2 linked regions of the Arabidopsis thaliana genome follow. The protein of the gene in region 2 interacts with the protein of the main gene of each other region in a pairwise test. Each region holds a gene or a part of one and is shown on either strand. Other genes may lie near its edges. The genes, in order: AT3G02420 and AT5G49540.

Evidence for each region.
Region 1: the proteins of AT5G49540 (region 2) and AT3G02420 interact in a two-hybrid assay, tested with the Arabidopsis thaliana proteins (2 studies listed by BioGRID, with this or other methods).

The regions. Positions count from the first base shown.
Region 1 is NC_003074.8:495,219-501,051, reverse strand, and holds AT3G02420 (dihydroflavonol 4-reductase/flavanone protein), read left to right. Parts: upstream 1-2,087; 5' UTR 2,088-2,279; coding exon 2,280-2,456; exon of another isoform or gene 2,457-2,674; intron 2,675-2,818; coding exon 2,819-2,948; intron 2,949-3,033; coding exon 3,034-3,134; intron 3,135-3,434; coding exon 3,435-3,560; intron 3,561-3,653; coding exon 3,654-3,774; intron 3,775-3,858; coding exon 3,859-3,943; intron 3,944-4,052; coding exon 4,053-4,166; intron 4,167-4,298; coding exon 4,299-4,338; intron 4,339-4,720; coding exon 4,721-4,873; 3' UTR 4,874-5,168; downstream 5,169-5,833. Other genes in the region: TBL20 (TRICHOME BIREFRINGENCE-LIKE 20), read left to right, coding at 1-67, 229-532; AT3G02430 (transmembrane protein, putative (DUF679)), read right to left, coding at 1,033-1,692.
Region 2 is NC_003076.8:20,103,915-20,108,372, forward strand, and holds AT5G49540 (Rab5-interacting family protein), read right to left. Parts: upstream 2,365-4,458; 5' UTR 2,071-2,364; intron 1,712-2,070; 5' UTR 1,696-1,711; coding exon 1,598-1,695; intron 1,500-1,597; coding exon 1,304-1,499; intron 1,194-1,303; coding exon 1,174-1,193; coding exon of another isoform or gene 1,164-1,173; exon of another isoform or gene 921-1,163; coding exon 890-920; 3' UTR 567-889; downstream 1-566. Other genes in the region: AT5G49530 (SIN-like family protein), read left to right, coding at 61-181, 269-328; BLOS2 (biogenesis of lysosome organelles complex 1 subunit-like protein), read right to left, coding at 2,788-3,087, 3,159-3,242; AT5G49555 (FAD/NAD(P)-binding oxidoreductase family protein), read right to left, coding at 3,497-3,626, 3,709-3,775, 3,866-3,986, 4,080-4,159, 4,222-4,334, 4,438-4,458.

The sequences.
Region 1 (5,833 bases), on a different chromosome or scaffold from region 2:
CTCCTTCACATTTCGAAGGTGGAGAATGGGACAAAGGTGGAAATTGCTTGAAAACGCGACCATATAGGTATACATTGTTCATCCGACATTTTCTAAAATATTAGTTTCTTCTAGAATACTTTAATATTATGAGTTTTGTGTTTTTTTTGTTGTTGTTTGAGTTTTCATTCGTCACATCCTAATAGAAACGTCTATATATTCCTTTGGGTTTCTTTTGTGTTTATATAGGAGCAATGAGACAGAGTTAGATGGTATGAATCTAGAGACACACAGCATTCAACTCGATGAATTTCGCATTGCAAACAGAGACAAAAACAGAAATGACGGATTAAATTTGAGATTACTAGATGTCACACAGATGATGTTGTTAAGACCAGATGGACATCCGAGCAGATTCGGACATAAACGAGAAGATAAAGTTATCTTGTATAATGATTGTGTACATTGGTGTTTGCCAGGTCCAATTGATTCATGGAACGATTTTTTACTAGACATGTTGAAAAATAGAGATTTAAAGAGATTAAAATACTAGTACGTAGAATCTAAATTTTCTCAGTTAAACCCTTTTTGTTCATTTGTAATTATATACGAGTATGTTTGGTTACGATGTGGTATTTAGAAAGATCTCTTCCCTTTTTGGCACGGTTTTCATAATCAGATATAAGCTTTTAAGTAATTTCAGATCTTAATTAACACATTGAATATTTAATGATATGGATCTAATATAAGTTTATGGTACAAATGAAGTAAAATAGTCAACGTTTTCCAAGTAACATGTCAACCGTACATACATTAATGTATTTTACATCAAAAAGTCCATGCAATGATTTTAGAATTCAAATAAATAAAGTCTATTTGAATTAGGAAAATTATATATATTTGACACAAAATTAAAATTTATTAGTTTAATAAAAAGAATAATGGTCATAACGTATATATACAAATTATACAACTTTACAAACAAGAAAACAAACGAAAATAGTCAACCCACCATGCAAACGCTACCGTTTCTAAATTGGTTTTAATTATAAATCATCGGCGATCTACGCTACCGGTAACAAGATATCCAATTCCGTGGCGTCTCGCCGGAAAAACCATAAACAAAAGGCTACACATAACCCCAACACCCACCGGAACAATGTCCAAGACATGTTTCGTCTCTGCCTCCGGCGACGGATAAAAGCAATCAGTTATATACTTGTCTCTCAACGCAACCGCTCCAAACACTAAAACCGACAACGTAGCGTGGATCCAATCAACGAACCGCATCCGATATTTGGCTAAATCGGGTAAACCTAACCCGGACGGGTCAGGATAGTCAACGACCCACATGCCTTTGAACGTTACGAAACCGAAGTAGATAGTTCCATCGTCGGCTTTAACGCTATCGGTAAAGGAGCTGACGAAGCAAGACGCGGCTAAGAGGAAAAGGAGAACGGCGGTTAGGAAACGCGTTGCGTGGTCGCAAACGCCGTTTGAAGTGAAAACCGGCGTTAGGAGTTGAAACGCGAGGAGTGTTCCCGTTGGGAGTAGGTTTGAGAGATTGGCTGCTGACGTCAGGGTGTTTGACATGGCTCGCTGAGACATTGACATCTGTCTCTTGAGCACCCGGGATTCTGACGGTGTCTGATCGGATAACTCGTCGAGCTCCGGAGCCGGAGTGTTTGCGTTTCTTAGCCGAAGGGCAGACATCTTTTTAGTTTTGATTCTTTTCAGGTTTCGATCGTTGGATTGATATTGGTGAAGATAATGATGATGATGTTTTTTTATAGATGCTACGATATAGAAACAGCTAATGATAACTTAGTTTACGCATAGTGGACTGTCTGTATTTAAGTAATCTCTCTGTTCAGTTAACTTGTACGATAAACAACATTATACACGACAAATAATACAAGACTTTTTAAAGCTTTTAACAAGATAGAACATAATGCTGAAAACAGTGATTGAGCTAGATATAACTGTGTCATATTCTGCTTGTTCTTCGCACGCTAGTCCTTCTCTGTTCTCACGATTTAGGGTTTCTTTCCCAATGCTCTGTTTTGTTCATTTTCTTTCTTTGGATAAATTGCATACAAACCCTCAAAGTTTCCAGTCTTTTGCAAAGTTGTAGTTATTTTTATATTAAATATCATAAACAACTGATTGCCAAAACGTCGTCGCTCTTGCAAAAGTCCACAGATACTAGTAGTAAGTAAAGTATAGGAAAAGTGGACCAAAGAAACAAAACCCATACAAAAAAAGTCGAATCCAAATCTCTCTCTCCGGCGATCTCATCCATGGCGGAAGGCGGCGAAGATTCCCAGCGGTTGAAGAAAATTGCGGCGGCTGCCTTCGACTACGAAAACGACGCTCGATGGGCCGATTACTGGTCCAATATCCTCATCCCTCCTCACATGGCTTCTCGTCCCGAGGTCGTCGACCATTTCAAGCGCAAATTCTACCAACGCTACATCGTACTTACTACTATCTTCCCTACTCTTGAATTTGCTTATCCATTTTCTTCATTACTTTGAGTTTCGAGTTTGACTTTGTGTTGTGTGCGCTACTGATTTGGGGATTTAGTGTGGACTTTGAATCTTAGGTTTTACAAGTGTGGTTGTTGATGTTCTTTCTGCTAAATTGCTTAGTCCTTGGGTCCGAATCTCCTCGTGATTAGGTTATTAAGCGGAGGGTAGGGCTTTTCATTGAATATTCGTTAGGTCCTGTTTATAATATGTGAAGCCTTCGTGTTGTTCATCTTTGCTCTTCCCTATGAAGATGTAATCTGGATTTGTTTCTAAATCTAGGGTGCTTGCCATGTCCTTCTTTTTTGCAGGATCCTGATCTTGTTGTGGAGCCTATGTCGACTTCATCTTCGTCTTCACAATCTGCCAGGCCAACTGCTACATCTGCATCTTCAACTGCATCTTCTAATGCAAATGAACAAGTTCGTTCACGGAACTCAGGTCAACTTTCTTTGTCTGATATATTCTTGAACTCAAATGAGCTTTTCTTATTACTACCAAAAACTTACCTAATTGTGTGCCTCAGGATCGGTTCCTCGAACCTCTGGGCCATCTGCTACGACTGGTGCAACCCCAAGTTCAATGCGCTGGGATGAGCAGACGATTCAGTTTTCAGTCAATGCTTGGGTAAGATAAAGTTTTTCAGTTGCAGTTTCTTCCTCTTATTGCACAAGTTTAATAAAAAGATCTAGCTCTTGTTAGCCCTGTGAGTTGGGATTGTTGTTGCAATCTGCTGTTCACTCCTTAACTTCACGGACAGTAATGAGATGGTGCATAGTGTATTGTCTGTCTTTATGTTCTCCTGTCTTGCTGAATCTTTGTTGTGTACTTAGACATGAACTAGATGTGACAAATGCTTTTTTGTCTGGAATGCTTCACGTAACTTATCTCCCGTTTCATGTCTCTAAATCCATTACATTTTTGCAGGTTTTTGTTATAGCTGTGCTGGCAGTGCTACCTCTAATACCAAAGAACCTCTCAAATAGGGCTTATCGTCTATCTTTCATGGGAACTGCATGCTCATCTCTATATTCCTTATACTCCTTATACGGGGTACGCCATGTGAATTTCATGTTTTCTTTCTCTCTAGTGATCATGCAATGCGAAATTTTTGTTACTTATGAATTGTAATTTTATAATCTGCAGAGGCCAAGGGCATGGAATATGCAAGGGCTGCAAGTTTATTTTCAATCAATTGTGGCAGCAAAGGATTTCATCTACTTCATCTACTGCCTTACATTCGTCACTTCACATCTCTGTCTCAAGTGTAAGAATTTATTGAAAACTCTTTTGTGAATGTCTTCAAATCACGTACATTCTTATGACTAGTCTCATTATCAATCTGTTGCAGTTGCTTTGATTCCCATCTTGTGCCGGGCACTTGAACAAGTAGCCAAGTTCTTGAGGCGTAACTTTGGTCGGTCCACTATATACAGGTAGGTGCATCGAGCTGATTAGCAGGTTTGAATGTAGTAGTAGGTTCCATGTGTGGATTCTTACTGATGCTTATGTTGTACATGTGTCTTGTTCTGTAATGGTTATCAGAAAGTACTTGGAAGACCCTTGTGTGTGGGTGGAGTCAAACACTACTACCCTCAACATCTTGTCATCGCAGGCTGAGATAGCCATTGGCTTCCTTCTGATTATCTCTCTGCTCTCGTAAGCTCTTTGAACCTGTTAGAAGCGATAATAGTTTATTTTCGCACTTAAGTTTATATTCTCACTAAGTTCCCAGCTTTGCATTAGCTGGTTTCACTTATCTGAACAAAATTGTCATTTTACTTACTGCAGATGGCAACGTAACATTATACAGACGTTCATGTACTGGCAGGTACGTATCATCTTTTGGTTGTAGTCATCAGTTCTTTGTGATGGCTCAACATTCCCAAGTAGAACCCCTGTTTTCTTTGTTTAATTTGATCCAAGTGAACATATAGGAAGAATCATTTCCGTAATAACACCTTTTTTGTTGCTTTGATGATCTTCTGTCACTGAAAGTGTTACATGGGCTAAGACCATCAGGATAGTAATGAGAACTGTGTTTTGTTTTTTTTTGGTTAAAAATCTTGTGTTCTTGTTATAAAATCTGTCAAGTTCAAAAACCTTTTCCTCATATTCTTCCTAAAACAAAGATCTACTAGGTTGTTTGCAGGATTGTTGGTTGGATCTTGAGAGTTGTTCTCATGAACTGAGTTTTGTTATTTTGGTGGCAGCTATTGAAGCTGATGTATCAAGCACCGGTAACAGCTGGTTACCACCAGAGCACGTGGAGCAGAATAGGGAGGACGGTGACTCCGATTATCCAACGTTACGCTCCTTTCTTGAATACTCCGGTCAGTGCCGTTCAGAGATGGTGGTTCAGGTGATAAAAAGAAACAAAATGCAGAGGTGACTTTTGAAACCCTTTTGAAAAACCAGAAGATTGATTAAATAGCTTTCAACAATCCATGTTAATTTCATATTCAGCGTAAAGTAGATTCTTCTTCTCTTTTAACGTTTTCCTTTGGCTATCGCTGAAATAAAAATCTCTTATTACTTTTGGTTTCTAGTTTAGTTATATGTGACTAATTGCCTTTCCAGTTTCCACCTTGCCATTTTCATTGGTGAGATACTTCAAAAGTTTCTAAAAAAATAATAATAATAATATTTTATTATGATTTAGTTTCTGTCCAATTATAAACACATACATATACATATAGTCTCTCAATCATTACTCTAAAATTTCTCTGCATAAAAACAATTCTCAATCTCTCTCTTATCTCTCTCATACTTTATTATTATTTTATATTTTTTAGTCAATAAAAAATTATGTGAGAAATTACCGATGAAAATGTTCTAAATTTTATAATATCTGATTCCATGAGTGATTGTAGAACTTTTGCTCAAAAATAAAAATCATCTAAAATATCATCTGGCCCTAGAAAATCGGTTTCATTGTGTAAAATTATTATATATTGAAAGGGTGATTATTTAAAGAAATTATAGTTGATTGGTTGTGAGTCGTTTACACATGTGGATGAGTGTTTTTGTTCGAAAAAAGGAAATCTAAAATAATGTACATTGGGGGGGGGAGAGGAGTATTATTTAGATAAACCAAATTTGGGAATAAGGTATCTTAATCATTGATTCATATTCCCTTCATTGGTGCGCGTGCCACCGCTTAAATCACCGAACACGTTCCCAAAGTCTAGTACCAGCAAGCAATACCACGTGGCGTCTATGCACAACTATACGAAATACGAGTGTCGAGACATCAAACCACCAATAGCGTATTGTGTTCGAACGCAATTCTAATCACAATTTAATATATGGAGCGGGACCCTTTA
Region 2 (4,458 bases):
GTTCTTTATTTCGGTTGAATCTCTAATTTCTCTGATTTTTTTTTTTGTTTTTATCATCAGGGAAGTGGTCATTAGCCTCTTAACCGGATCTCCACCTGGAACAAAGCTTATGAAGGCTGAGGTATTTGCAGCAGGCAGGACCAAACTTGAACGTGAAATCACCAACAACGAATATATAAAGGTCTTCACTTGAGCTCTCTTTGACTTTTTTTTTGTGTTTCGACCAAAGCGTAGTTTTAGTCTCTAAACTCTGTGTGTTGTGTGACAGGTGATGCACGAGATCTGTGAAACCAACTCTTCAGGATGGGTTTTACAGAAAGCTCGATGATGAGTTTATTAAATCATCATGACTAGATTTTAATGGTCTATAAATTTTGATATGAGTAAACGGTTCAGTAGTTATGAGATATTCATATTTTGTTTTTCCTTTTTGAAATCAAACAACCTTTTTTCTATTACTCAACTAGAGTTGGTAAGACAAGCCACACCAACACAGGAAAATAAACATAAGAAGCAACAAAAGAACTATACAATACACATAGACGGCTAAGTTCAAACTTGACAGAGAGTGTTCTAATGTTCTCTATTGAAATCTTAAGCATATTCGAATATATTTTACATGCAAGAATGTAAAAAAAAAAGAAAACAACAATGTGAACACATGAAATTGGAAGAAAGTGTAAATACTTGAAACTTTTCAATCTAAAGGTTTTCACAGTTTGATGTGATCTCAAATAACAAAAAAAGGTAATACGAACTCATAAACTGTTGTTCAAAAAGGGAACAAGAGAAACATTGTCAATCTAATTCAGTTTAGATGAAGAGGCTGCAAAACCCGAACTCAATCTTGTGTGCCGTTTCACCATCCTCATCTGGAGCAGAAGTTCCCTCAGAATATGTGCACCAAGTCATACGCAAATCTACTCCATTGTTAAGGAAACCTACTGAGACAAACAGAGAATAGAGAGAGCTGTTTTCGAGTTGCGCATATACTTGATTCTACACGAAGTAAACAAAAAGGCCATTTCTATGTTAATCACAGGTTCTTAAGAAGCTAATCATTTTTACCTACACCATACCATAGATGTTTTTCCATAAAGCTAATCAACCTTTGATTTAGTTTTGCACATTATCATAAAATGAGTATGACCACCAAATTGAGTTTAAGGATACGTCCAGAACAGCACAAACGACTGCGAAAAAGAAAACAACACCGCGATTAGTATGAGATTAACAGGTTGGATCAACAACATGTATCTTGAAGCAACAAACAATGTAATAAGAAAAGGAAATGAAGATATACCATAAGGCCACCAAGAAAACCGTCAAAAAGAACCCGATTCCACGAATCAAAGTACAAGTCAGCTGAGAATCCTGCCTTAGCCATGAGCCCAACAGATGTGATCAACATCACCACAAAGTAAAATACAAAACCAATCAAGCCATTGAATCCAATTATTCCTGCTAAGACACCAGCTATGATAGACAGAAACGTCCGGCTGCAAACACGAACAAAATGAGGGATAACAAGTCAAAAAACCCGAGAACCATCATCTTTTTAAGAAAACGAAAGAGAGAGAATTGTATTGAATCAGACCTGTTTTGAATGACTTTCAAATTGTTCTGCAAATTCTCTGCACTGAAAGTTGGTATGTCACTCATGATATCCTTTGATCTCTTCTCAGATGAACCCATTTAAGATAACAACAATCTGAAACAACATAAATTTCAAATCTTTGTATTGGATTTTACATTACAGTAACAAAAAAGGAAGAACTTGGACATCATAGAGTAAGTGTATAGATTACAAACCCAAAAAAGTATTGATTTTAAGCAAATTTCCACAGGAAAATTAGGGGTTTCTAATTGATTCAATGATTCTATAACTGGGTTTCGCTATCTAAGCATCACAATAAATTTCGATTCCTAAAGGTTAAGACTTTATGATTATCTCTTAAGTAGTCGAGAGTGGGAGCAACTATGATTAATCGATCTGGTTTTATCGATCTCTTCCGATCTACTACTTTGAGATCTACACAAACTTTGGAAAAGGAATTGATATAGACTTACAATTAGAAACGAGAGTAGTAAGAGGAAGATCGAAGTAGCTTGCTTTGGTACTTGGGATGAATTGAATGGAGAGGATGAGCCAATTTGAGAGAGAACAATCAGACGAATATCTTTAAGTTCTTTAGAGTGTTTTTAGACAAAAGAAAAACACAGAGAAAACAAGTAATATATAAACCGTAAAATCGAACCGGAACCAAACCTTAAACCGGATTGTCCACTACTAATCAAAATTAACAACACTCTCCAACTATGCTAGTTAAATTTCTTGATATTGAAACGGATAACATGATTATACATCACAATTTGTGATTATGAAAATTCGTTACTTACTACTAAAGATGAGCAGTTCAGTTTGTTCCAAGTTTTGGTTTTATAAAACCATCGCTATTACATTCAAACTGAAATTAATTCGGTTTGGTTTTGTTTGCTTAGGAGGTTTTAATATGTTTAACAAAACACTTAACCAATGCATTAGTAAGTACGGTAAATGGTTATATATGGAGTAGCGGTAAAAAAAAAACTTAGGTGCTTTTCGTTTGGTTTGGTTCCAGATTGATTTATGCAAATTTCAGTTTTGGTTAAACTTAAACCGAATGTAGACAAAATCATTCGTCGTATTCGTATCTAGCTTCAATATCAACTAAAACCAAAATAGCATTCCAGATCTCGATTCCAACAATCTCAGTAATGATAAAAATTAATTATTGCTACAATGCATCAGTCTGTAACAACAGAATCATTAGAGCGACGCTGATGATGAGGATGACGATACTCAGCTCGGATTTTAGATTCTAGGACAGAGACATATCGATCTAGAACAGAGATCACAGCTTCAAACTCCGACACTTGTTTCTCGATAGCATCCATTTGTCCTACAAATTCATCCAAGCCACCACTTTTTGATTTCATCTGTTCTGCGAAAACTCTGAGCCCAGCTGCCACGTCACCCATATCATCGTACTCTGACGCAACTCTCAGGTTCATCTTCTCCAATAGATCTAGATGGTTGTTCGTTCCCTATTTTTATCCAATTCAATTTCAGATCTGTGGAAACAAATAAATCTGTAAAATTTCGGATTGATTTTCACCTGGAGCTCGGATTTGACCATAGATGAAACACTCGTGAATAGATTTTGTAGCGATTCAGCTAGATCATCTCGTGAATCCGCCATTGATGAGGATATTTACTTCTTTTCGCAAAGACAAAGACAAAGACAAATAAACAATGGCTCTTCTGTTGTTTAGGGCACTTTCCATATTTGTTGAATTAGTGATATTTAGGTTAAGCTACACGTGGAGGCTTATTATTCGTTGATATCAACTATTGTCCATGTCTGTAAGCCTCTCCCTACGACAGAGGTTTTCAGAGCAGTAACAAACAACTTACACATGAGAGTTAACATTGCACAGTCTGAGATTATACTCGCTAGATTCTTTTCAAGTCTTGAAGAACAACATGTGCAGCGTTTCTTCCAGGTGCACCCATAACTCCGCCTCCAGGATGAGCTCCGCTGCCACACAAGTAGAGACCTTTCAAAGGGCTTCTGTAATTTGACCTGTTTCACACAGTCCAACAAAGTTTTGAATTTCATAATCATAAATCGTAAAGACTGTTTTGAGTACTTCGGAGTCACGTACCATCCTTTCACAGGGCGCATCAGGAAGAGAGAGTCTAATCCCATGGCACCGTGAAAGATGTTTCCGCCTGCAGAATACAAATGGGCAGTCATGTCAATATGGTTTGGCCATGTCGCATGTACTTGGGATCTTTCTCCAAGTACTTCACTTTATATACCTGTTAGACCAATTTCCCGTTCCAGGTCCGGAGGAGTCAACATGTCGTAGCTAATGATGGATGAGCTAAACCCGGGTGCATATTCATCAATCAGTTTGAAACACCTTTGTGCAAAGGCTTCCTGATTTTTACACAAGCAAAAGCAAATCCAGATGGGTTTGGCATGTCTTGTAGTGTAAAGGAATGTTTAGCCAAGCGTGTATAACAAACTAACTCGGTAAGTAGGATCTTCCCAGCTTCCATCTGAGGGCTTGTAAGGAGTGTACTGGATGAACAAGTTGATTACATGCTTCCCTACATACAAAATCACATTCAGAGTTCAAATCCTAAACAAGCAAAAGGGGGAGAATGTGTACCTGGGGGAGAAATGGTGTTGTCTAGTGTGGATGGAATAGTCATTTCGATCACTGGTCTTCTCGATGGTAAGCCATTTTCAGAATCATGACATGCTGAGTGAACCTCGTCCATGCTGACAGAGAGAAGATAGAACAGAGCCATTGATCACTTTTATTTGTATTATTATTTGTTCTTCGAGATACATATAATGAGGAACAAATTAGCACGAATGATACCTCTCTGCACCAATGTGTATA